Linked DNA regions of Arabidopsis thaliana. The protein of the gene in region 1 interacts with the protein of each later gene in a pairwise test. Each region holds a gene or a part of one and is shown in the gene's direction. Other genes may lie near its edges.

What was found.
Region 2: the proteins of AT1G19450 (region 1) and MHX interact in a protein complementation assay, tested with the Arabidopsis thaliana proteins (one large-scale study listed by BioGRID).
Region 3: the proteins of AT1G19450 (region 1) and AAP8 interact in a protein complementation assay, tested with the Arabidopsis thaliana proteins (one large-scale study listed by BioGRID).
Region 4: the proteins of AT1G19450 (region 1) and GOS11 interact in a protein complementation assay, tested with the Arabidopsis thaliana proteins (one large-scale study listed by BioGRID).

What each region holds. Positions count from the first base shown.
Region 1 is NC_003070.9:6,730,888-6,736,597, reverse strand, and holds AT1G19450 (Major facilitator superfamily protein), read left to right. Parts: upstream 1-1,573; 5' UTR 1,574-1,964; coding exon 1,965-2,162; intron 2,163-2,284; coding exon 2,285-2,347; intron 2,348-2,458; coding exon 2,459-2,548; intron 2,549-2,663; coding exon 2,664-2,723; intron 2,724-2,811; coding exon 2,812-2,877; intron 2,878-2,966; coding exon 2,967-3,032; intron 3,033-3,127; coding exon 3,128-3,203; intron 3,204-3,311; coding exon 3,312-3,376; intron 3,377-3,461; coding exon 3,462-3,554; intron 3,555-3,630; coding exon 3,631-3,711; intron 3,712-3,793; coding exon 3,794-3,878; intron 3,879-3,976; coding exon 3,977-4,023; intron 4,024-4,088; coding exon 4,089-4,151; intron 4,152-4,245; coding exon 4,246-4,305; intron 4,306-4,395; coding exon 4,396-4,461; intron 4,462-4,557; coding exon 4,558-4,617; intron 4,618-4,699; coding exon 4,700-4,927; 3' UTR 4,928-5,187; downstream 5,188-5,710.
Region 2 is NC_003071.7:19,523,572-19,529,486, reverse strand, and holds MHX (magnesium/proton exchanger), read left to right. Parts: upstream 1-1,906; 5' UTR 1,907-2,175; intron 2,176-2,591; 5' UTR 2,592-2,658; coding exon 2,659-3,049; intron 3,050-3,135; coding exon 3,136-3,311; intron 3,312-3,402; coding exon 3,403-3,521; intron 3,522-3,612; coding exon 3,613-3,785; intron 3,786-3,933; coding exon 3,934-4,049; intron 4,050-4,167; coding exon 4,168-4,384; intron 4,385-4,471; coding exon 4,472-4,601; intron 4,602-4,671; coding exon 4,672-4,969; 3' UTR 4,970-5,370; downstream 5,371-5,915. Other genes in the region: PHR2 (photolyase/blue-light receptor 2), read right to left, coding at 5,755-5,836.
Region 3 is NC_003070.9:3,263,880-3,269,358, forward strand, and holds AAP8 (amino acid permease 8), read left to right. Parts: upstream 1-2,006; 5' UTR 2,007-2,093; coding exon 2,094-2,418; intron 2,419-3,099; coding exon 3,100-3,193; intron 3,194-3,307; coding exon 3,308-3,522; intron 3,523-3,620; coding exon 3,621-3,763; intron 3,764-4,001; coding exon 4,002-4,229; intron 4,230-4,421; coding exon 4,422-4,847; 3' UTR 4,848-4,944; downstream 4,945-5,479. Other genes in the region: AT1G10000 (Ribonuclease H-like superfamily protein), read right to left, coding at 1-909. UniProt on the Arabidopsis thaliana protein: Amino acid-proton symporter. Stereospecific transporter with a broad specificity for glutamate, aspartate and neutral and acidic amino acids.
Region 4 is NC_003070.9:5,457,887-5,462,245, reverse strand, and holds GOS11 (golgi snare 11), read left to right. Parts: upstream 1-1,886; 5' UTR 1,887-2,156; coding exon 2,157-2,195; intron 2,196-2,445; coding exon 2,446-2,685; intron 2,686-2,883; coding exon 2,884-3,048; intron 3,049-3,178; coding exon 3,179-3,292; intron 3,293-3,414; coding exon 3,415-3,528; 3' UTR 3,529-3,848; downstream 3,849-4,359. Other genes in the region: AT1G15890 (Disease resistance protein (CC-NBS-LRR class) family), read right to left, coding at 1-840; AT1G15885 (uncharacterized protein), read right to left, coding at 1,151-1,276, 1,556-1,696; AT1G15870 (Mitochondrial glycoprotein family protein), read right to left, coding at 4,001-4,163, 4,258-4,359. UniProt on the Arabidopsis thaliana protein: Involved in transport from the ER to the Golgi apparatus as well as in intra-Golgi transport. It belongs to a super-family of proteins called t-SNAREs or soluble NSF (N-ethylmaleimide-sensitive factor) attachment protein receptor.

The sequences.
Region 1 (5,710 bases):
GCGAGTTGTATATGTTTTGTTGATATTATTTATATTGTTTAGTGTTTAAAATTATATACTTGTATTTTGATTGTTAATTTTAAAGTTTCACATATAGTATATCATCTTGTATTAATATTGATTTAAACCCGTCAATTGTAGGATTTTTCAGCTTGTATTAAAAATTGAATCACATCATACACATTAAAAAATCTAATATGTTATTAATTATTGTAGTATATAAGATTATAAATTTTAAAATAATATGTATGAAATTGAATATAAATATTCAAACTATGACACAGTACTCAGTAAAAAAATTTCTTAAATCTACTTTTGACCCGTTATAGTATTTTTTCATGTATTGAACAGTTTATATTCGTTTTTAAAAATTCAAATTGTGGCATATGCGAAAAAATTCTAATTATTTTTTTATAACGATGATATTATTTTTTTGCAAAAATAGAATCATATAAAGATGAGAGGTGAACTATAATAATTAATAAAAAATTAATATGATAATTTAGATATCAAATCTAATTTGTTGATTTTAATTGGTTACTTTTTTGGAAATTAATAATGTATTTCGTTTTTGAGTTAAATTTAATTAATTAAATTAGTATTTGACTTTTAATTTTTAAAGAAATAAATTAATTTACTCTTTAAAATCTTATTTCTAATGACATACCTATGTAATTACTTACAAAAAAATAAAGTTATATTTAAAATGTATTTCCTAAATAATATAGTAGGATGTTATTGGTAAACATTGAAATAACATGTCGTATTCTCAAAGATTTTAAATATTGAAAATAAATAAATAATGTTGTATCTGAATAAATATTTATATTTATTGAAGTATTCGAAATTAATGACATCCATATATTTTTCATATACTAGAAAACAAAAACTATAATTATTCGAGTTTATCTAATAAAATAATGTCACTTGCATATTTGTGACCTATCGACATCAATATCAACGAGGTAGCGAAAATGCTAAAAAGTAGAGGAGGATTCGAGCATTATATTCATATTTAAGTGTTACTTTAATAATCTTATTATTTGTCCTAAATTGAAGTTTTAGCTAAATTTTCTCCCACAATATTGTTATTCTGATTTTGTTAAGAGTTAGGACAACATCTAAATATGAATTCTATAATGCATGCTAACTATTATTATAAGTGCTAAAATATAAAATGACATTGTCACTTTTTGTTGTCAAAAGGAATGTCTAGTGGCCTCGTATTCTAATATGGGAAGTTTTAATTATTATTCCTACCAAAAAATATCTTTGAAGTAGACAGTTTACCTAAACAAAAAGAAAAACATTTTCTTAAAAATACAATATAGTTTAGTCTCAGCCTGTACCACAATTTTATAGTATTGTTGCGTAATTAGTTACATTGTAAAAGCTCATTATAATACTAATGAGTATGTAGAAGTATGTAGAAGAAAATAAATGATTCAAAGCGACTACAAATGCTTGTATATGTGAGCGAACATGGGACAATGATTCAAAAAATTATCTTTGCGCAAAAAATAACTCGAAAACGACAATCAGACAAAAAAAAACAATAGTTAAATTTGATATAAAAGAATTTAAAATGAACGATATCTTATTTAATTACAAATTAAAATGTTTTTAAATTAAGTTTTTTTTTGTCGACAGAGAAGAAAAAAAACAGGTCCCTTTACGAATTCTATAAATCGATGTTAGGCGACGCGTTCTGAGGTGGAAAACTATGAAACAGTCTGCGTCTCTCCACGCAAAGGCTCAATTTTTACAAACCATGAAGAATTCTTAAGCAAAACAAGTCTAACATCTTTTTGAATTCACCCAAAACTCAAATCCTACCTCAAATTTCGTATTTTTCTTCTTCTGCATTTTCTAGTTTAGGATCGACATTTTTATCCTCCGAAAGATTCGTGCTTTTTTCTCTCTGTAGATTACGATTGTTTTGTAGATTTAAGAAAAACAAAAAGATGAGTTTTAGGGATGATAATACGGAAGAGGGAAGAAATGATCTTCGGCGACCGTTCTTACACACAGGAAGTTGGTATCGGATGGGTTCGAGACAATCTAGTATGTTGGAATCGTCTCAAGTTATTCGAGACAGCTCAATTTCTGTCTTAGCTTGTGTTTTGATTGTTGCTCTTGGTCCTATTCAATTCGGATTCACTGTAAGAACAACATAAACAAATATCTCAACTTTCTTATATTTTTTTTTATCAATGTGGATTTCTCTGCTTTTGCTCAAATTGACTAAGAAAGTGTTGATTTTGATTTATCTTTTTGTTTTCAGTGTGGTTATTCCTCACCAACTCAAGCTGCCATTACTAAGGATCTTGGTTTAACTGTATCAGAGGTATGAAGGTCCCATCTTTATTTAAGAACTGTTCTGTTTTTTTTTTTTTTTTTTGTAAAGACTCTTGTTCTGTAATTTTCTGACTTTTAGGTTTCTTGTTTGATGTTTTAGTACTCTGTGTTTGGGTCTCTATCCAATGTGGGTGCTATGGTTGGAGCAATTGCGAGTGGTCAGATTGCTGAATACGTTGGACGGAAAGGGGTATAATAGTTTTGTTTCTTGATTCTAAAACATGTTCTCATCTGTGACAATTTGTCATGTAACATCTTCTTTCTTGTTGTATCTTATTTACTGTGTTTTTCTTTCCTTTTGACAGTCTCTGATGATTGCTGCAATTCCCAATATTATTGGATGGCTTTCGATATCATTTGCAAAAGTGAGTGTTTTGGTGTTCTCAAAGTTTCTGATATTCTTGGCTTATCTCTATACCTACTAAGTTGTTGTTGTTCTTGGTTTTTGTTTAGGATACTTCTTTTCTTTACATGGGAAGATTGTTAGAAGGCTTCGGAGTTGGGATTATCTCCTATACGGTAATATTAGATTCAACTATTTCTTTGATTTCAGCAATGTTTGTTTGGAGTGATCAATATAATTACACACCTTTGAATTGCGATTTTAGGTTCCCGTATATATAGCTGAGATCGCTCCACAGACCATGAGAGGAGCCTTAGGTTCAGTTAACCAGGTTTGTCATGTTTAGTTAGCTTCACTATTTTTATGTTTCATTTTATGAGCTGATTCATATGTTAACACTAAACAATAAATGTTTTGTGTTTATAGCTTTCTGTAACAATTGGGATAATGCTGGCGTATTTACTCGGTCTCTTTGTTCCATGGAGAATTCTTGCAGTTTTGGGTAACTCACAAAACATTTTGACTTGACTTGGGAGAAACTATACCTGTTTTTATTTTATTTTGATCGATACAGTCTAATCACTTTCTTGTTTGTCTTCTTTATGTTTAGGAGTATTGCCATGTACATTGTTGATACCGGGTCTTTTTTTCATTCCTGAATCTCCTCGGTGGTTGGTATGCCTCTACAACCGTATTGCTTATATTGTTGAGTTTGTTGCATTATTGGTTATCCTAAATTGTTTTGGTGTTGTAATTGTAGGCAAAGATGGGTTTGACAGATGATTTCGAAACTTCATTGCAAGTTCTTCGTGGATTTGAGACTGATATTACCGTTGAGGTTAATGAAATCAAGGTAGTGACTAAACTGAAGAAATGCTTTGATGTGATTTCTTGTCTTATTTAAAATTTTCATTTTATGCACTCTGCAGAGATCTGTGGCATCATCTAGCAAACGTTCTGCAGTTCGGTTTGTAGACCTCAAGCGCAGGAGATACTATTTCCCACTGATGGTGCAATTTCTCTTACCTCTCTTGAACTAATTTTGTCAACACATGAGAGAAACTCACTCTTTTCCTGTAATCTGTGTTACAGGTTGGTATAGGGCTGCTTGCACTTCAACAACTTGGAGGAATCAATGGTGTCTTGTTCTATTCGAGTACAATTTTTGAATCTGCAGGTAGAGTCATATGTTTTTTTTGATTATTGGAATGGTCCTAAGATAGAATAAACAGATTTCTAACTATGCTTCTTTGTTTGCAATTATCATTCACTAAGGGGTGACATCAAGTAATGTGGCGACATTTGGAGTTGGCGTTGTTCAGGTATATCATTTCAATCTAGGAGACATTAGATTCGATTTTTCTAACCGTTGTTCATTCTATACCAGGTAGTGGCGACTGGGATAGCGACATGGTTGGTGGATAAAGCAGGTCGTCGGCTTCTACTCATGGTGAAGAATATTTGAGATTCATCTGTATATCTTACAAAGTCTGAAGAATTTATGTATGCATAACATAATATTAGCATTTTCTTCTGAAATGCAGATCTCTTCTATCGGAATGACGATAAGCCTCGTGATTGTAGCAGTTGCATTTTACCTTAAGGTAACATTTTAACTTTTGACATCTCTACTTGTACAATGTAAGAGTGTCACTCTAATTATGAGATATTGAGGTTTCTTAATCTTTTGTTAGGAATTTGTATCACCTGATTCCAACATGTACAACATTCTAAGCATGGTTTCCGTAGTTGGAGTTGTGGTAAGTCGTTTGTTTTATACATTCACACAACGAAAGATACTTTCTTATTTACATATTTCCCGGTATGTGTACTAAATCTGGCTGAGTTATTTACAGGCTATGGTTATTTCTTGCTCTCTAGGAATGGGACCAATTCCATGGCTGATTATGTCTGAGGTACTAAATATTAAAACATGGTGTTCCTTAGTGTTAAAATCACAACTGGAAATTTTAATACTGATTAATGTTGGTAAAACAGATTCTGCCAGTGAATATAAAGGGTTTAGCCGGAAGTATAGCAACTTTGTTAAACTGGTTCGTGTCATGGTTAGTGACAATGACTGCAAATATGCTGTTAGCATGGAGCAGTGGGGGAACTTTCACTCTCTACGCTTTGGTTTGTGGATTCACTGTGGTTTTTGTGAGTCTTTGGGTTCCTGAGACTAAAGGAAAAACGCTTGAAGAGATCCAAGCTTTGTTCAGATGATCAAAACAAGAAGAGGAAGAAGAAGACAAAATTTTCACTTTTTGCTTTCTCCATTACAGATCATTCTTTTGTCCCTTCCCTGTGTCTGTATTTCATGCTTTGTTCAATGTATTTCTTCTTGACATTGATTATAATTTGTTTATCTTGTACAAGCATATCATTATACCTTTAAATTTGATTTTTTGTTTTTGTGTGTAATTTTTCGGATTCTCAAGATTAATAGCACTATATTTGTGTATTCAACAATATCTTGAATTAAGTATAGAAAATCAGAAATGCAAATGTTAGTGTTTTGGATCCAAATGGGAAAGCTACCATGTGATAGAAACTGCTTTGGGAGTTTTGTTGTTTGGCGAACATGAAAGGACTATTTCCAATGCAAACGGCGGTCGATTTGAAAAAGAAAACAACAATATAATAACAATTTTAAAATCATTCTTTATATAACATTCTTGGCATGTCCCACTGTCCAATTTGACCATTCATTAAGAAATCAGAACCAAGTAAACAATACTAAGGTCATTTTCTTCCAAAAGTAATAAACTAGGAAAATATCTAGACAATTTACAGATAGTAACGAAATAATACGTTACAAGAACATGAAAATGGTTTTTGTAGTTACCGTTCCTTGTTTATATTCTCAAAGTAACGGATTCACATATTCACACCATTCAACACGAGTGAGTGTCAGTGAAAGGCAAAGTTGGACAAACGAAAGTTTTGGTTTCTGTAATTTAATTGGAGCAAACTTCAATAATAGTAAACAAACAACCTTTTGTTTAA
Region 2 (5,915 bases), on another chromosome or scaffold:
TTTGATGTATACATATGGGTAGAAAACAAGCCACCGACACCTTTGTCACTCATTGGGTGAGCTCTTCCTAAAGAAGATGGTCTTTTCCAAATTCCAATTCAGCAGCATGTGTAGTAGTAGTTTCGTGGATCTGTATGTATTCTCGACCGCGGTTACAACTAACGATTTATAACTAAGGCGTTTTAGTTTTACGAATAGTATTTCGACCTCGTGTTATCGTTCCCATATGGGAGATTTATATCTTTCTCTATGAGATGTTTGTGAGACTGTATGATTTTGTACATTTGAGTTTTTGGAATTGTTTTCGTCAATTTAACAAAAATAATTGGTGACAACAAAAAAACTATCAGTCTTAGTAATATGTGACGTATTTCTTATCAAATTTAGATTGACCATGTAAAGAGTTTAGCAATTAAATCCAATTACATTGCTTGTGTACTTATTCATGTTGTAATAAATTGTAGATTTACAACTATGACAATCCTATATAACAGAACAAAAACAAATACGTATTTGAACTTTCTAGTTTACACTTTACACGAATTACACGTGATAAATAACAGGTAGATTTATGTCAATGTCATACATAGCCTAAATCAACTAAAAAGTAAACAATATAGTTCAAATGTATATATATACTAGATAAGGTCCGCCTATTTAGGCGGGTGTACCCGAAATTTTCAAATACTCGAACGGATATAAACTTTAAAACCCGAAAAACTCAAACCCAAACCCGAATAGGTATGCAAACATATCTCAAATATAAGTATATATTAGTTATATTTATACTTATATATAGAAAATATTAGAATTTTTTTGGATATTTTAGTTATTTTTGTGTATTTTTAGATATATTCAAGCAAAACTACTCATGTTGTTTTGGGAATTTTTGAAAATTTCAAGTAATTTAATAGATTTGCACACAAAATTTGATATTTCAATATATAAATAACTCGAACCCGAACCCGAACCCAAACCGAACCCGACCCGATAATATTTTTTTGTTTAAAAATACATACAACCAAAATCTTATTTCTACCCAATTTCTTTAAGTAATAATTATATTAATAAAACCTACAGTCTAATTTCTACAGCAATAAAACTTACAGCTACAGTCATCACACCTACAACAAAAATTCTACAGCAGTAAATCTACAGTTACAGACAAACCAATCACCCACGTAATCTCGTAAGTTAATTTTACATCATGCAAATTAATATTAAATGAGTTAAAATTAATAAATGAAAATAATTGAAAAGTTAAATCCTATAAGCTAAGCTATTTTTCTCAAAGTGTTCTATTTTCACTTATGATTACATGAGTTAAAGACAAATTTGTTAATTTTGCTTTTGTTGAATAAATGTTAATTGTTTATAAATATATAGACATATAAATTAGTATATGTAAATTTGTTTACTTTTTAAGATTTTCTATTTTTTTAAAGAATAAAAAAGTTAAATTTTGAATGACACATGTAAACATCTAATCGTTTGACTTGACACTGTGCCAAGTCAATTTTGAAAACCATACTTTATATAATAAGATATATATATATATATATATTTTTTGTCCTCATAGTTCAATTGTATATATCTCAATAATTTTTTTAATCAGAAAAAAACAAAATACATATATATCCACTAATTCTGATTTGATAATGCGTTCACACTTCATATTTATCATGTTTATCTTTTATAAAGAAAATAAATTAGTCAGGTCAGGTTTTTAGTAAGATATATGTTTATGATAATATCTAAACTCGAGGAGATGATAAAACTAATATTACTCAGGTTGAAATTAAAATCTAATGCTTATAAGGATGAAATGAAACAAAATTCAGGGAGTAAAAAGATATAAAAAAAACTTGCAATTGAGGTCTCATATTCTTAAACCTTACCAAAGAAAGGCGAGATTAATTAATCCTAGTTAGTCAAGTAAATCATCCAATTAGATAAGATCACGTGTCGGTCGATGTACGCTTGAATCCTCGTTTCGATACAATAATTGAAGTGTGTCATGCAGAGATTAGAGAGATGTGTATAAATGGCTCCCAAGTCTCCACCGCAATATCCAACGCTTGACCGATTCCAATCAGCTCCTCTCGATTTCCGTTTGTCGGAAAATCTCTCCCGTGATCGGCGTATTGTGAATGCCGCTCACCGAGATATTCTCCGGTACGTCCGCATTGATCAATTTCGTCGCGTGGCTCACTCTGTTTCATCTGTTCTTTTCTTATTTTTTAGCTATTTTTGTTGAGATTTGTTCGTTGAAAATTATGGTTTTGTGAAAAGAACCCAACTTGTTTTACTGAACCCATGATGAAAGTTATAATCTTTTGATCTGGTTACCTCTGGATTTTGATTACGCATACAGTGGAACATGCAATTGTTATTAGCATTGGTTATAGATTGGATTTCGGTTACATGCCATTGGATCCTTTGCAATGTTTAGTTTGTGTTACAGATTCTCTGGAAAGAAATCTTTTTGCATGTTCCGTTTGTTTCGCATCCTCTTGATACTGTTCGATCGATCAGGCTACAGGTTTCATCAGTTTCTTCTAAAAGTTGTAAGCTTCTTTTTGGTGTGCCAGATTCTTTTCCCCAGTGAGGACAAGTGTTCAGTTGACTTATTAGGAGGTGGGGTTTGAATAAGTTACAATGGCCTCAATTCTTAATCAAACCCAGGAGTTGCAAGAATCTTCTAAGGTTCTTGGGCATTTAAGATGTGAAAACTTCTTTCTATTCCCCGGAGAAAACACTTTGTCAGATGGTTTGAGGGGTGTGTTATATTTTCTCGGTCTTGCCTACTGCTTTATTGGGTTGTCAGCCATCACTGCACGGTTCTTCAAGTCTATGGAGAATGTCGTGAAACATTCCCGTAAAGTGGTTACAATTGATCCCATTACTAAAGCTGAAGTCATCACATACAAGAAAGTTTGGAACTTTACTATTGCAGACATCAGTTTGTTGGCGTTTGGAACTAGCTTCCCTCAGATTTCTTTGGCTACCATCGATGCAATACGGAATATGGGGGAGCGGTATGCTGGAGGTCTGGTGGTTGTTCCTTTCTTCCTTCCAAAACTCTAGTTTTTACTTTTAAGTTCATGAATTCTTATATCATGTTTTGTCATATAGGTCTTGGTCCTGGAACACTTGTTGGCTCAGCTGCATTTGATCTTTTCCCCATCCACGCTGTTTGTGTCGTTGTGCCAAAAGCTGGAGAACTGAAAAAGATATCCGACTTAGGTGTTTGGCTAGTTGAGCTCGTATGGTCTTTTTGGGCTTACATCTGGCTATACATAATCCTCGAGGTAACTGTGAAAAGCGGTTTAAACAGATTCTGTTGAGTCTATACTCTATACTGATAAGGTCTAAAAATCTGTTTCTTTTCACGTCTCACAGGTGTGGTCACCAAACGTAATTACACTTGTGGAGGCATTATTGACAGTACTGCAATACGGATTGCTTCTAGTTCATGCGTACGCCCAAGACAAGCGATGGCCTTACTTGTCTTTACCAATGTGGGTTTCTTTTCCAGACAATAATATTAGTTCCTTCAAAATGGATTTCTACTAAAGATTGTATCTTTGTGTTTGTATTTGATACTTGCAGGTCAAGAGGTGATAGGCCAGAGGAGTGGGTTCCAGAGGAGATTGATACATCCAAAGATGACAATGACAATGATGTTCATGATGTGTATTCGGATGCTGCTCAAGATGCTGTTGAATCGGGAAGCAGAAACATTGTTGATATCTTCTCTATTCATTCAGCTAACAATGATACAGGTACTAAGTATGATTAGGCTGTCTATTCTATTGATATAAGATCAGTTTTAGCGTATTTGCTTATTTCCAAATCTATGTGATTCCCATATTTATCTCTGGTAGTATATTGTTATAAATCAAACTTTCCCTGTAACAAACACTTTTGCAGGGATCACTTATCATACTGTGGCAGATACTCCACCCGATTCTGCGACTAAGAAGGGTAAGGCGAAGAATTCTACTGTTTTTGACATTTGGAAACATCAATTCGTGGATGCAATAACGGTAAAAATCTTCAACTTACCAAGTGTTTTCTAGATTCTTCTATATCCTATTTTGGGCTTTTGATCATTATCAACACATCTTTCTTAACTTGTTTCTCTTCCTATTCGTAATCAAACAGTTGGAAACATCAGAATCAAAGAAAGTGGATAGCATTTATCTTCGAATCGCGAAATCTTTCTGGCATTTACTCCTCGCCCCTTGGAAACTGCTTTTTGCATTTGTGCCCCCCTGCAACATTGCTCACGGTTGGATCGCTTTCATCTGCTCTCTCCTCTTCATCAGTGGAGTAGCCTTTGTTGTCACAAGATTTACTGACCTTATAAGCTGTGTCACTGGTACACACCCTCACCGCTTTCAAAAACTGAAGTTATAAGATTAAACATTTGAGCTCTAAAACATTAGAAACTCTTTTCATCTTGCAGGAATAAACCCATATGTGATAGCATTCACAGCACTCGCAAGTGGAACTTCATGGCCAGACTTAGTAGCAAGTAAAATCGCTGCAGAGCGACAACTAACCGCAGATTCAGCTATTGCAAACATCACCTGCAGGTAAAAATCTCAAAACCCTTTACAAACATTGAAGATCTTTTCATGATCTTTTTGGTGATAAATTATGCAGTAACTCGGTGAACATCTATGTGGGGATTGGAGTTCCGTGGCTGATAAACACAGTCTACAACTACTTTGCATACAGAGAGCCTTTATACATAGAAAACGCTAAAGGATTAAGCTTTTCGCTTCTGATATTCTTTGCGACATCAGTGGGATGTATCGTGGTGCTTGTGTTGAGAAGGTTGATTATAGGAGCTGAGCTTGGAGGTCCAAGGCTATGGGCTTGGCTTACTTCTGCCTATTTCATGATGCTTTGGGTCGTCTTCGTTGTTCTTTCTTCTTTGAAAGTTTCAGGCGTCATATAGAAGAAGCAACAAAAGGAAAAACCCCATGAGTAGAAGAAAAAGTCTTAGCTTACTTGCACATGTCTCAGTTTTTGTTTTTCTTACTTGTTAAGGGGGTTTTATATAATTATCAAAGTTCAAAGGCAGTTGGCTAAATATGTGTTGCAAATATAAATCATATTGACTATGATTTTGGAGGCTTCATCTCTAGTTAGGAGGTGCATATATGGAGTACATTTTCATTATCCTGCAGTTTTTTTTGTTTTTTTATTTGCAGTGTTACCAATTTGTGGTACATATATGCAAACTTTCTCTAAAGTCAAGCAAATAATCTTAGTCGATTAATATAAACTTTTATATGTAACTTTCATCCAAGTAACTAGTGTTTAGTACGGTTCTTTAATAAGTGTTGTAGAATTTCTAATGCCCATTTACCACGAAGTGCATATTCTAGTTGCTGCTTGCTTCTGATATTAGTGACATCTTAATATTCCTGAATTTAATATTCATAGACACAACTACTTCGGTTATTTTCTAAGATACATTCTCAAGTCTTAACCACAAAGGAGAGCGTCTCAAATTGTAGAGACTTTTTATGGAATGAGTATCCGAAATGTTTAGAACAGGGAACGGACAACTTGATTGAGCCAAAAAAAGAAGCTTAGATTTTATTCTCCTGACACTCAAGTTTCAAAAGAGAGCAGTAAAGTCCTGTCCGGATAGCAAATTAATCCACCATACACCAGAGTAGGGCAAAGAAACAGGTCGCTTCTAACTTTTCCGGTCACCTGAAAGTTTTCAAATGTTTAAGCAAAGGCACCGGTACAGGCTGTAGCCGGACCAGCCTCGACCTGCGTCTTCGCTGAGCTGTATTTCTTGGTTATAAACCTGTTCCAAGTTTAAACACACATCAAAGAGAGAATCAGACAAAATACAAATTCTACATTTCTACTAGGGGGCAAGTTAA
Region 3 (5,479 bases), 3.5 Mb from region 1:
AACAAAAACAAGAGTACCCGGGTCAAGCCCGATATTACCAGAAATACAAAGGGAGAGCTTAGCCGCAGCATCAGCAATCGAATTAACTAAGCGAGGGATAAATTGAAAGGAGATAGAGCGGAATCTGTTTCGAATAGATCGAATTTCCACTAGAAGGCCAAATATCTCATTGAGGGAGACATTGGAGTTCAAAGCATCAACTATGGATTTTGAGTCCGATAACACAAGGAGATCGGATCTTTCCAGTTGTAAAGCATGTAGCATCGCCGATTTGATAGCCCAAGCCTCCGCCGCTAAGGGCGAGGGGAACCGACGGCATCCGGCTGAGAAGGTGGTAATTTCTTTCTCCGAGTGTGAGGTTGCTTGGAACACCCAGCCAGAGCCAGCGAGGGAGCTCTGTTGTTGCCAAGCCGCATCCACGTAGCAGAGAAAATCATGAGTCAGAGTTGTTGTGGAGTTTGGGCGGGGGGTCGCTACACGAACTTTTGGGAGCGCCAATTGGGCGGATTGCCACGCTAAGGCATCCTGAACCGCCTTTGTAACAGTCTCTATCACAGAGAAATGAGAATTTTGGAAGATAAGCTGATTTCTGGCTTTCCAGATGTGCCAACAGATCCAGGGGAAGAGGGTTGCTGTATGAATCCCAACCGGGGGGAGAACGATGGTTTTCTTAAGTAAGTTAAGAGCTTCCAAAATAGGGGTACCGATAGGGATGTGACCCAATTGGAGGGGCGCTAGGTTCCAAACTTGTGCCGCAAAATCACAGTGAAACAGCATGTGGGTGGAAGTCTCCGGAGCCCCACAGCGTGCACAATCCCAAGTTGATGATATATGCCTTCTTACGAGTTGTGCACCCACAGGGAGAGCTCCTGCAGCCGCCTTCCATAGGAAAAGTTTGATCTTCGGCATAGTGTGGAGTTTCCAAAGGTTTGCTTGCCAGTTAAAGCGGACCTGAGCTGTTGGTAGCACTGTCAAGGATGTTACCCCGTAACCTGATCTTGAGGTATACTCTCCAGATTTTACCGGTAACCAGACCAATTTATCCACACCCCTACTTGAGGGCACAGGGAGCTGTCTGATGAGCTGTTCATAGTCAGGTAGGAGGTCAACGTACCGTACTTTAATGGTGTAATATGCGACATTTATTATGTGTCATTTTAGATATCTGATTCTGTCTCGACAATTGGGATGGGCATTTTATGGATATAGTTAGAATGGGATTTTATTCGAAGGAATATTTTGTGGATATATTTTAAAATAATCCACTAAAAAATCAGGTTTATGTTGGTCAAAATCCATATTTAATACGACAAAATACAACATTGAATTCATTAATTGTGCACAAATTACGGATTGTGAGATAAGACTATAAGAGTGAAAGAAACGATAAGAAGTAATGAAGACTCAAAATCGTACATAATTGAAATTAGTGAAATTTATGGTTTGGTTTACATGTTTTTGTAAACCGTTAAAATAGTAGTAAAATATAATACAAACATGTAAATCCACATAATTTTGTATTTGATGCGATACTAATAACAAAATGTTGTAGATATATCATAATATTTAGTTGATACAACAATATATATATATAGATTCACATCAATACATCATTATAACTCAATGTTAATGATTTAATTTCCCGATTAATGAATCATGTGCATGTGAGGATTTGAGAAGATAAATGAGCAAGATAGAAGAGAGGATATAGCTATGCAAGAGGCCAAGATCTGAAGGAAATATCTCTCTGTTTTACTCATCTAATTTTAATCAGTTACCTAATTTCGATTATTCGTAGTGTCGTTAATGTAGGTAAATCCTCTTTTCAACATGCGGACCAATTTTTGTTTCCGGAATAAGCAATAGTGGTTACACATTCAAAATCAAAGTCAAAAGAAATAAATCCTCGTAATAGAAGATTCTCTTAATAAATAAGATTCAACGTACAAAGATGCTCTTTCCATATAAACATCGATATTTGTGTATATAATACATGTAAGTACGTGATTGTGAGGGAGTACTCTAATAAGACGACCTCTGTCAATAACTCTCTTCCCCTCTCTTCTCTCCTCTGGTTCAGTGGTTCTCTCACAATGATGGACGCATACAACAATCCCTCGGCGGTGGAGTCGGGTGACGCCGCCGTGAAAAGCGTCGACGACGATGGTCGAGAGAAGAGAACGGGAACATTTTGGACGGCGAGTGCGCACATAATCACGGCGGTCATAGGCTCAGGGGTGCTGTCGTTGGCTTGGGCTATAGCACAGCTTGGTTGGGTGGCAGGAACCACAGTTTTGGTCGCTTTCGCCATCATTACTTACTACACGTCCACCTTGCTCGCCGACTGTTACCGTTCGCCGGACTCCATCACCGGAACACGCAACTATAATTACATGGGCGTCGTCCGATCTTACCTTGGTATGGATTCATATAAACAAATTCATTTTGTGTCTTTATCAGCATTGTTTTTCACAGATTTTTCAGTTTTCTAGACATTTTTTCTCAGATGAACAAGGATTTTGTTCATTTGATATCATTTAGATTTTGCCTAACTAGTCTCAATTTAGGACATGTGTTTTGATTTTCTTCCATTTCTGTCACAATGATGATGGCTGGCGAAAGAAAAAAAATCTGATCTAAAAATATATATTTAATGCTAAGTTGGAATTTGTAAATCTACAGTATAATTGGCTCATTTCAACAATTTTTTACCATGTAAATTTGTTGAAGAACATTATTGTTGTTGAACAATGAAAGAAAAAAATATGGTTGTTAGAAAAAAATGATTTACGATTTTGCCAAGTGTGCATGCTCTTTCATGGGAAGATATGAATTAATTATCAAAATCTATATAAAAAAAAGGAAGATAATCTTCATTCTTTCATAACTTAGTTAATAAATTAAATTGATTAGGATTGGTAACATAGTCAATTCAATTTATCCCGTTAAAGAATGTTATAAATTCGATTGTTGACCCCTCGTTGAAAATTTGGAATTATGCGGGATGTTTAGAAACTTTGCCATAAGACCAAAAGATTGGTAGTATTTGATAGTAGTACAAGAGTAATCATTTTTCTTCTTTAATAACATAAAACGCAGGTGGTAAAAAGGTTCAGCTATGTGGAGTGGCACAGTACGTGAATCTCGTAGGGGTCACTATTGGTTACACCATCACTGCCTCCATAAGCTTAGTGTAAGTCAAAGATTCTGATTTATTTCGATTATTTTGTTATGGTTATACTAACATGTTGTTCTGAATAAAATTACTAATAATTGTTTGATTGGTGTTTTTGTACGTCTTCGTTAGAGCGATTGGGAAATCAAATTGTTATCATGACAAGGGACATAAAGCGAAATGTTCTGTATCGAATTATCCATACATGGCGGCATTTGGGATCGTCCAGATCATTCTGAGCCAGCTTCCTAACTTCCACAAGCTCTCTTTCCTATCCATCATCGCCGCGGTTATGTCCTTCTCTTATGCGTCTATCGGAATAGGCCTAGCCATCGCTACTGTAGCAAGTACATTCCCCTTCTTTATCTTAAAACATAGTGGTTTATATGGATGATTCTTCAAAGTTGACACTAACCGTGAAAATGGTATACAATATATATGAAAGGTGGGAAGATTGGTAAGACAGAATTGACAGGGACAGTGATAGGTGTGGACGTAACTGCGTCTGAAAAAGTTTGGAAATTGTTTCAAGCGATTGGAGACATTGCCTTTTCATACGCTTTTACCACTATTCTCATCGAGATTCAGGCATGTACTACTGATTCCTACTATCTTCCGTTTACTATTGTTTTCATTTGCTTGTTATTATTAATTTCGCCAAAGAGAGGTAAAATAAGAATACCTTGAAGATAAGATGTTATTATTAATTAGACAGTTAGGAAAAAATATAGATGGATGGATGATGGATAAAAATAGTTTCATATTTTAGATATGTGAAGCTCTAAAGATAGTGACGCTCTAGTAGTATGTCTTGTTTATTTTGCAGGACACATTGAGATCAAGCCCACCAGAGAACAAAGTGATGAAACGAGCAAGTCTTGTCGGAGTCTCAACCACAACTGTTTTCTACATCTTGTGTGGTTGCATCGGATATGCTGCGTTCGGCAACCAAGCCCCTGGTGACTTCCTTACCGATTTTGGTTTTTACGAACCTTATTGGCTCATCGACTTTGCCAATGCTTGCATTGCTCTCCATCTAATAGGTGCCTATCAGGTATAACTCACAAACAAAAGAATAGGATAAGTGTGTAACATACATTTACCGTGTTCAAGTTCATTAAAAGTCTCATTATTGTGTTAGAATTTTTAGCTTTAACAATTCAGAAGATTGTAGAAATGGAGTTATTACTAAATATTGTTTCTAAAAAATGCTCTTTTTTTTTTTTTATCCCTGTATTATTCGCAGGTGTATGCGCAGCCGTTTTTCCAGTTTGTTGAGGAAAACTGCAACAAAAAATGGCCTCAAAGCAATTTCATCAACAAAGAATACTCGTCAAAGGTTCCTTTGCTTGGAAAATGTCGTGTCAACCTCTTCAGACTGGTTTGGAGGACATGCTATGTTGTTTTGACAACATTTGTAGCAATGATATTCCCCTTCTTCAATGCGATCTTGGGTTTGCTAGGGGCATTCGCGTTCTGGCCACTCACAGTTTATTTTCCGGTGGCAATGCACATTGCGCAGGCTAAAGTCAAGAAGTATTCTCGTAGATGGTTGGCCTTGAACCTCCTCGTATTGGTTTGCTTGATCGTCTCGGCCCTTGCCGCCGTAGGATCCATCATTGGCTTAATTAATAGTGTCAAGTCATACAAGCCCTTCAAGAATTTAGACTAGTGTGACTTATAATCTATGTTTGCCAAAAAAAAACCTTGTGATCCATATGAATTATATGAAATTTATTTCATGCTAAATATTTAGTACTTAATGTTTCTCCAAATAATGTGACGTTCTGTTTTCAGCTATGTTAAAAACCAAAATGCTAACTTATGTATTAGTACTAAAATTTATGAAAATGTATTAGTTATTGATTTATTTTTAGGACTACAATTATTGAATCAACATTGGATGTTTGAGTCCCATGAGATATGGATTTCAGCTTTTTTCAAATTCGTGTGGTTGTGTCAATTTCGAGTTATTATTATTTATTTTGCTTAATGGAATTGTCGGGGAAATCTTGAAAACAGACACTCACAGATTGTGTAATTTATTTGGTTTGGTGTGTCCTACATAAGTTGCTATCACATCTTATGTATTGGAGGAGTTGGGCAATAGAGGATCAAGGCAAGTTTGGTTTTCTATTAACGTTTCTACTCTGCATTTGCTTACAAAGTCATTTTCAAGGTTTTGTGGTCGTATGTCACTTGATGGCTACCATCATAACCGCCATGTAACCAAACAATTGCCTTGCGGTTACCTACCCATATGGCGCATCTAACCAAGAGATGCATCCCCTAATCCTGGTCATT
Region 4 (4,359 bases), 1.3 Mb from region 1:
TCGCGTTAGAGGTGGAACTCCAATCTTTTCTAAATCTACTTCGCTCCATAGATCATCCAATAACAGCACAAATTTCTTTACGTTGAGGATGTTGCATATGTAAGAGGCTTTCTCCTTTTCTGTAACTTGTTTCCATCCCCTGTGAAGACCTAGTCTTCCTAAAATCTGTTCTTGAATGCCTTCATTTTGCAAATCTTTAGAAACCACAACCCATATAACAAGATCAAATCCATTCATCCCTTCAAGGAATTTGTTGTTAATAGAAGCTAAGAGCGTGGTTTTACCTACTCCCCCCATACCATAAAGACCCAAAGTTCTTCGTTCATCTTTCATGAGGCTGTTCCATGCCCTTCCGACCATTGCATCCAACCCAACTGTGGTTTGGATATGCTTCTTCTCCACCTTAGGCGCAGGAATTTTCTCTGCCACCACTTCAAAAACTCCTTTAGCTAGAAGTCCTTCCACGTGTTTCAACTTTTTCAGTACATTTATTCCGTAATTGCGGCCAGATATGAAATTCTTAGAACAATATCCACAGAGACATAACCTTTCAGTTTGAATTGATTTAGCTTTCAGCAGATCATTGACTTGAGAACAAACATCTTTAACCCTTGAAAGCCAACCTTGAACTTGAGCAAGCCGTTGCAAACCTTTGTCTTCTTCTATGACAACTCTTCTTAACAGATCATCTCTTCTCTCCTCGAGCTCTTGCATAGTATTCTGCAGAGCCTCGAGATTAGCCTCCATCTTGAGAATGTAATTCCGATCACCAAATAAGCAGCCACAAGCATGATTCAACGTTTGATCACAAGATATTTCTAGTGCTACACAGTTTCCCATCTTACTCAAACTTTCAAATATCAAGACGATGCAGGAAACAACACAAGATAAGGAGCACTGAATGGAGAAGAGGAAAAAGAGTACAATCGTGCCCTCCTGATATTGATTAGAAAATTTAAAAGTCAGACTGCAAGTTCTAATATCTTATTGAAAGTGGCAGCTTCAACGAAAAGTCAAGATGCGTGTTCAGATATCCACAAAATGACATTGACCATCAAACATTAAGAAACTATAAGATAAAGTTTTCTATCCACAAAATGATATTGACCATAAAAAAATATGAAGAGCACAACTATCTTTCAACTTTCAACTAATGTAACACTCTGCTACTGTAATTGTTGCCGTAATTACTCAATTCAAGCTCATCCCTTTCTTCCTCTTCTTCAGTATCATCTCCGATATGTTCGTCAATTGTCCCTCCGCCATAAAAAATCTCCTACTTTCACCAAAAAAAATAGACCTTATTTCTCTTTGGAAAAAGTTCGTAATTCATTAAAGAGCAAACACGAAGAACTAAAGCCATTAACAACTCGAAAAATTGCATAATTTTCCCGAGCACCAACAAGTGAAAACACGATGAAATAGTAATCCACAGATTGAGTTGAGATTGATCAAAAGCAATTCGAGGAATTTCTGAAGAAGCAAACAGAAGGAAACCGAACGAGATCGAAGCAGTGAAGCAAAAGCGTAGTCAAAGCGAAAGAGAATTAGTTACCGGCGGAAGAACAAATTTGAAAGCGACGACGGGCGGCAATCGCTTGAATTGATTGTGAGGGAGTGAGACTTGAGAGTGGAAGTATATCCGAATGGAGCAGTTTGATGAGAGAACCCGGTAAGCTTCTAGGACTCGAGCCATCGAGCCGGGTCTATTTTTACTGGAGAACGATGTCGTTTATGTTAAGGTTTACTATTATCCACGTATCGCTTGCAAGTTTGACTAAATGTGTAGGTCAACTTATATATAAACTTACTGTAGGGTGGAAAACACTGGATTATACCCGCCGAATCTCAGGTCATCGAATTAATTAATTTGTGATTACGCAAAACTGAAAAGCAATTTTCCGTTGAAGGGGTACGCAGAAATTCTGTCTGCGTCTCCGAACCAACTCTATCCTTCTCTCAATCCGATCCGTTCCGTTCACTACTTGTCTCAATTTCGAACCAATTGGATCGCATCTTTTAGGGGCTCAAACCTTTGGTGACGAGGACGAGGAAGAAGATTGTCGCATCTGATTTATATCGGAAAAAGGTCTCTTGCCGGAAAGGACACGATCCGCTTTCATAAAGGAGAGATTTTGACAGATTCAGTAGACGCCATGGATGTGCCTAGCTCTTGGGATGCTTTACGGAAACAGGTATTTTTCTTTTTATAAAATTATTGTGTCGTTTGATTCGAAGCTACTAGGTAATTGTGTTGGGGAAGCTGGTAGTGTCTGAAAATCTGTCTTGAATTTCGAATATTTGAGGTCTGAATTGATATCAATCTTCTGGGTTCGATTCGAATTGGGGAATTTATTGGTTTTGTTGGCTAATTCTCAATGATTTATCTTTTTACTGGATCCAATTGATATTTGAATAAGCTTTGTGTTGTATTGAATCCCACAGGCTAGAAAGATTGAAGCTCAGCTTGACGAGCAGATGCATTCATATCGTAGACTTGTTTCCACAAAGGCTTTATCAAAATCAGATGGTAATGAGAGTGATCTTGAAGCTGGGATTGACTTACTTCTTAGGCAACTGCAACAAGTTAATGCTCAGATGCAAGCATGGGTATCTTCTGGTGGGTCAGAAATGGTCTCCCATACTTTAACTCGACATCAAGAGATCCTTCAAGATCTGACACAGGTACTGTTCCTTTCCTGACTCATACCATTTGAATATTTGCCTTATTCTATAGCTTGTGTTGATTATATACTGATTAGTAATGAAATGAGTGTTATCTTTTTAACCATCTGTTCACACTCTGCTCTTGGACTAGTTTATGACTCAACCTTCGTTGTAAATCAGTCTTGTTCCTGTATGTATGACTCATTCAAAATGCAGGAGTTTTATCGACACCGCTCCAGTCTTAGAGCAAAACAAGAGCATGCTTCACTTCTTGAGGACTTTAGAGAATTTGATCGGACTAGATTAGATTTAGAAGATGGATATGGGTCTGAACAAGCCCTGATCAAGGAACATATGGGAATCAACCGCAATACAGCTCAGGTATATAAACTCTCCTTTGCGATTAACCTTTGTTAGACTCTACAGCTGTAGCGTACAATAGGCCTGGCTTTCTCAAGTTAATCGAACACGTCATGACTTATGTGAGCTGACTATTATATAAACGGTGCAGATGGACGGTGTCATTTCACAAGCTCAGGCAACACTCGGTACGCTTGTGTTTCAACGTTCAACTTTTGGAGGCATCAACTCAAAGCTTAGCAATGTCGCCAGCCGTCTACCTACGGTACGAAGAGCTTTCCTAGTCTTATTTACACACTCTTTTGCTCGTTGCTTTCTTTATGTTCGGTTATGGCCTGTGTTTATCCTATATCTCACCCTGCAATTGGATGGTTAAAACCACTGCAGGTGAACACTATTCTGGCAGCGATAAAGAGGAAAAAGTCGATGGATACAATCATTCTTTCACTCGTTGCGGCTGTATGCACATTTCTCATATTCATTTACTGGATAACCAAGTAGAATTTGCCCATTTCTTTCGTTTCATCTTTATGTTGGGCCACGTCTGGTTTTCCCATGATGTCAATTTGTTCTGCAATTATCGGTGTTCTAGTAAAGAATCTAAAGATCAAAAACATAAATATTGTGTACAGAAAATTTCATCCCTGTCTTTGCAGTCTAGACGAGCTTGTTAAATGTTGAGTTATTTTGGAGATGCCACACATACAGTACAACCATCTGTTTCTCTCATCTTGTAACTTTTTATTTGTGGGAGTATGTTGCTGCATTGAAAAGGGTACATGGCGCCTACATGCAATACGGCTTTAATATAATCATTATCATATATATGCTCGCAACTAATCCATATTAGATTTAAATGTCACATTACCTCTGGAAACTAAGAACCATGCCAATAAAAGTCCATCTAAGCCATATAATCATATATCCAAGGGAACATTCATTGGCTGCTTAAGAATGTGGTCGGCAGAAGATTTTATTTTTGCTCAACATAAGATTTAACAGTCTCCATCCATCTAATATACTCAGCTTTATCTTTGTTCTTCATGTACTGATGCAAGAACTCAGCAAGATCATCACTTATACCTCTTTCCTCCAAAAATCGATAAACCGAGTCTTGAAGTTCATCTTCCATTTCCCTGTAAAATTGAACAAAAGACAGTTTAGTTCCATCGTATCAGAAACAAAAAGAAAATGTTTATGTTTAAAAAAGAAGTGATCAAATCACAGTACTGGAATTCAGGTCCAATATAGGCATTTGGTGAGTTCTGGCTGCTTTTACGAACAAAGAACTTGGTGATCTGTATGGTATCAGGCCAAGCAGAACACATGATC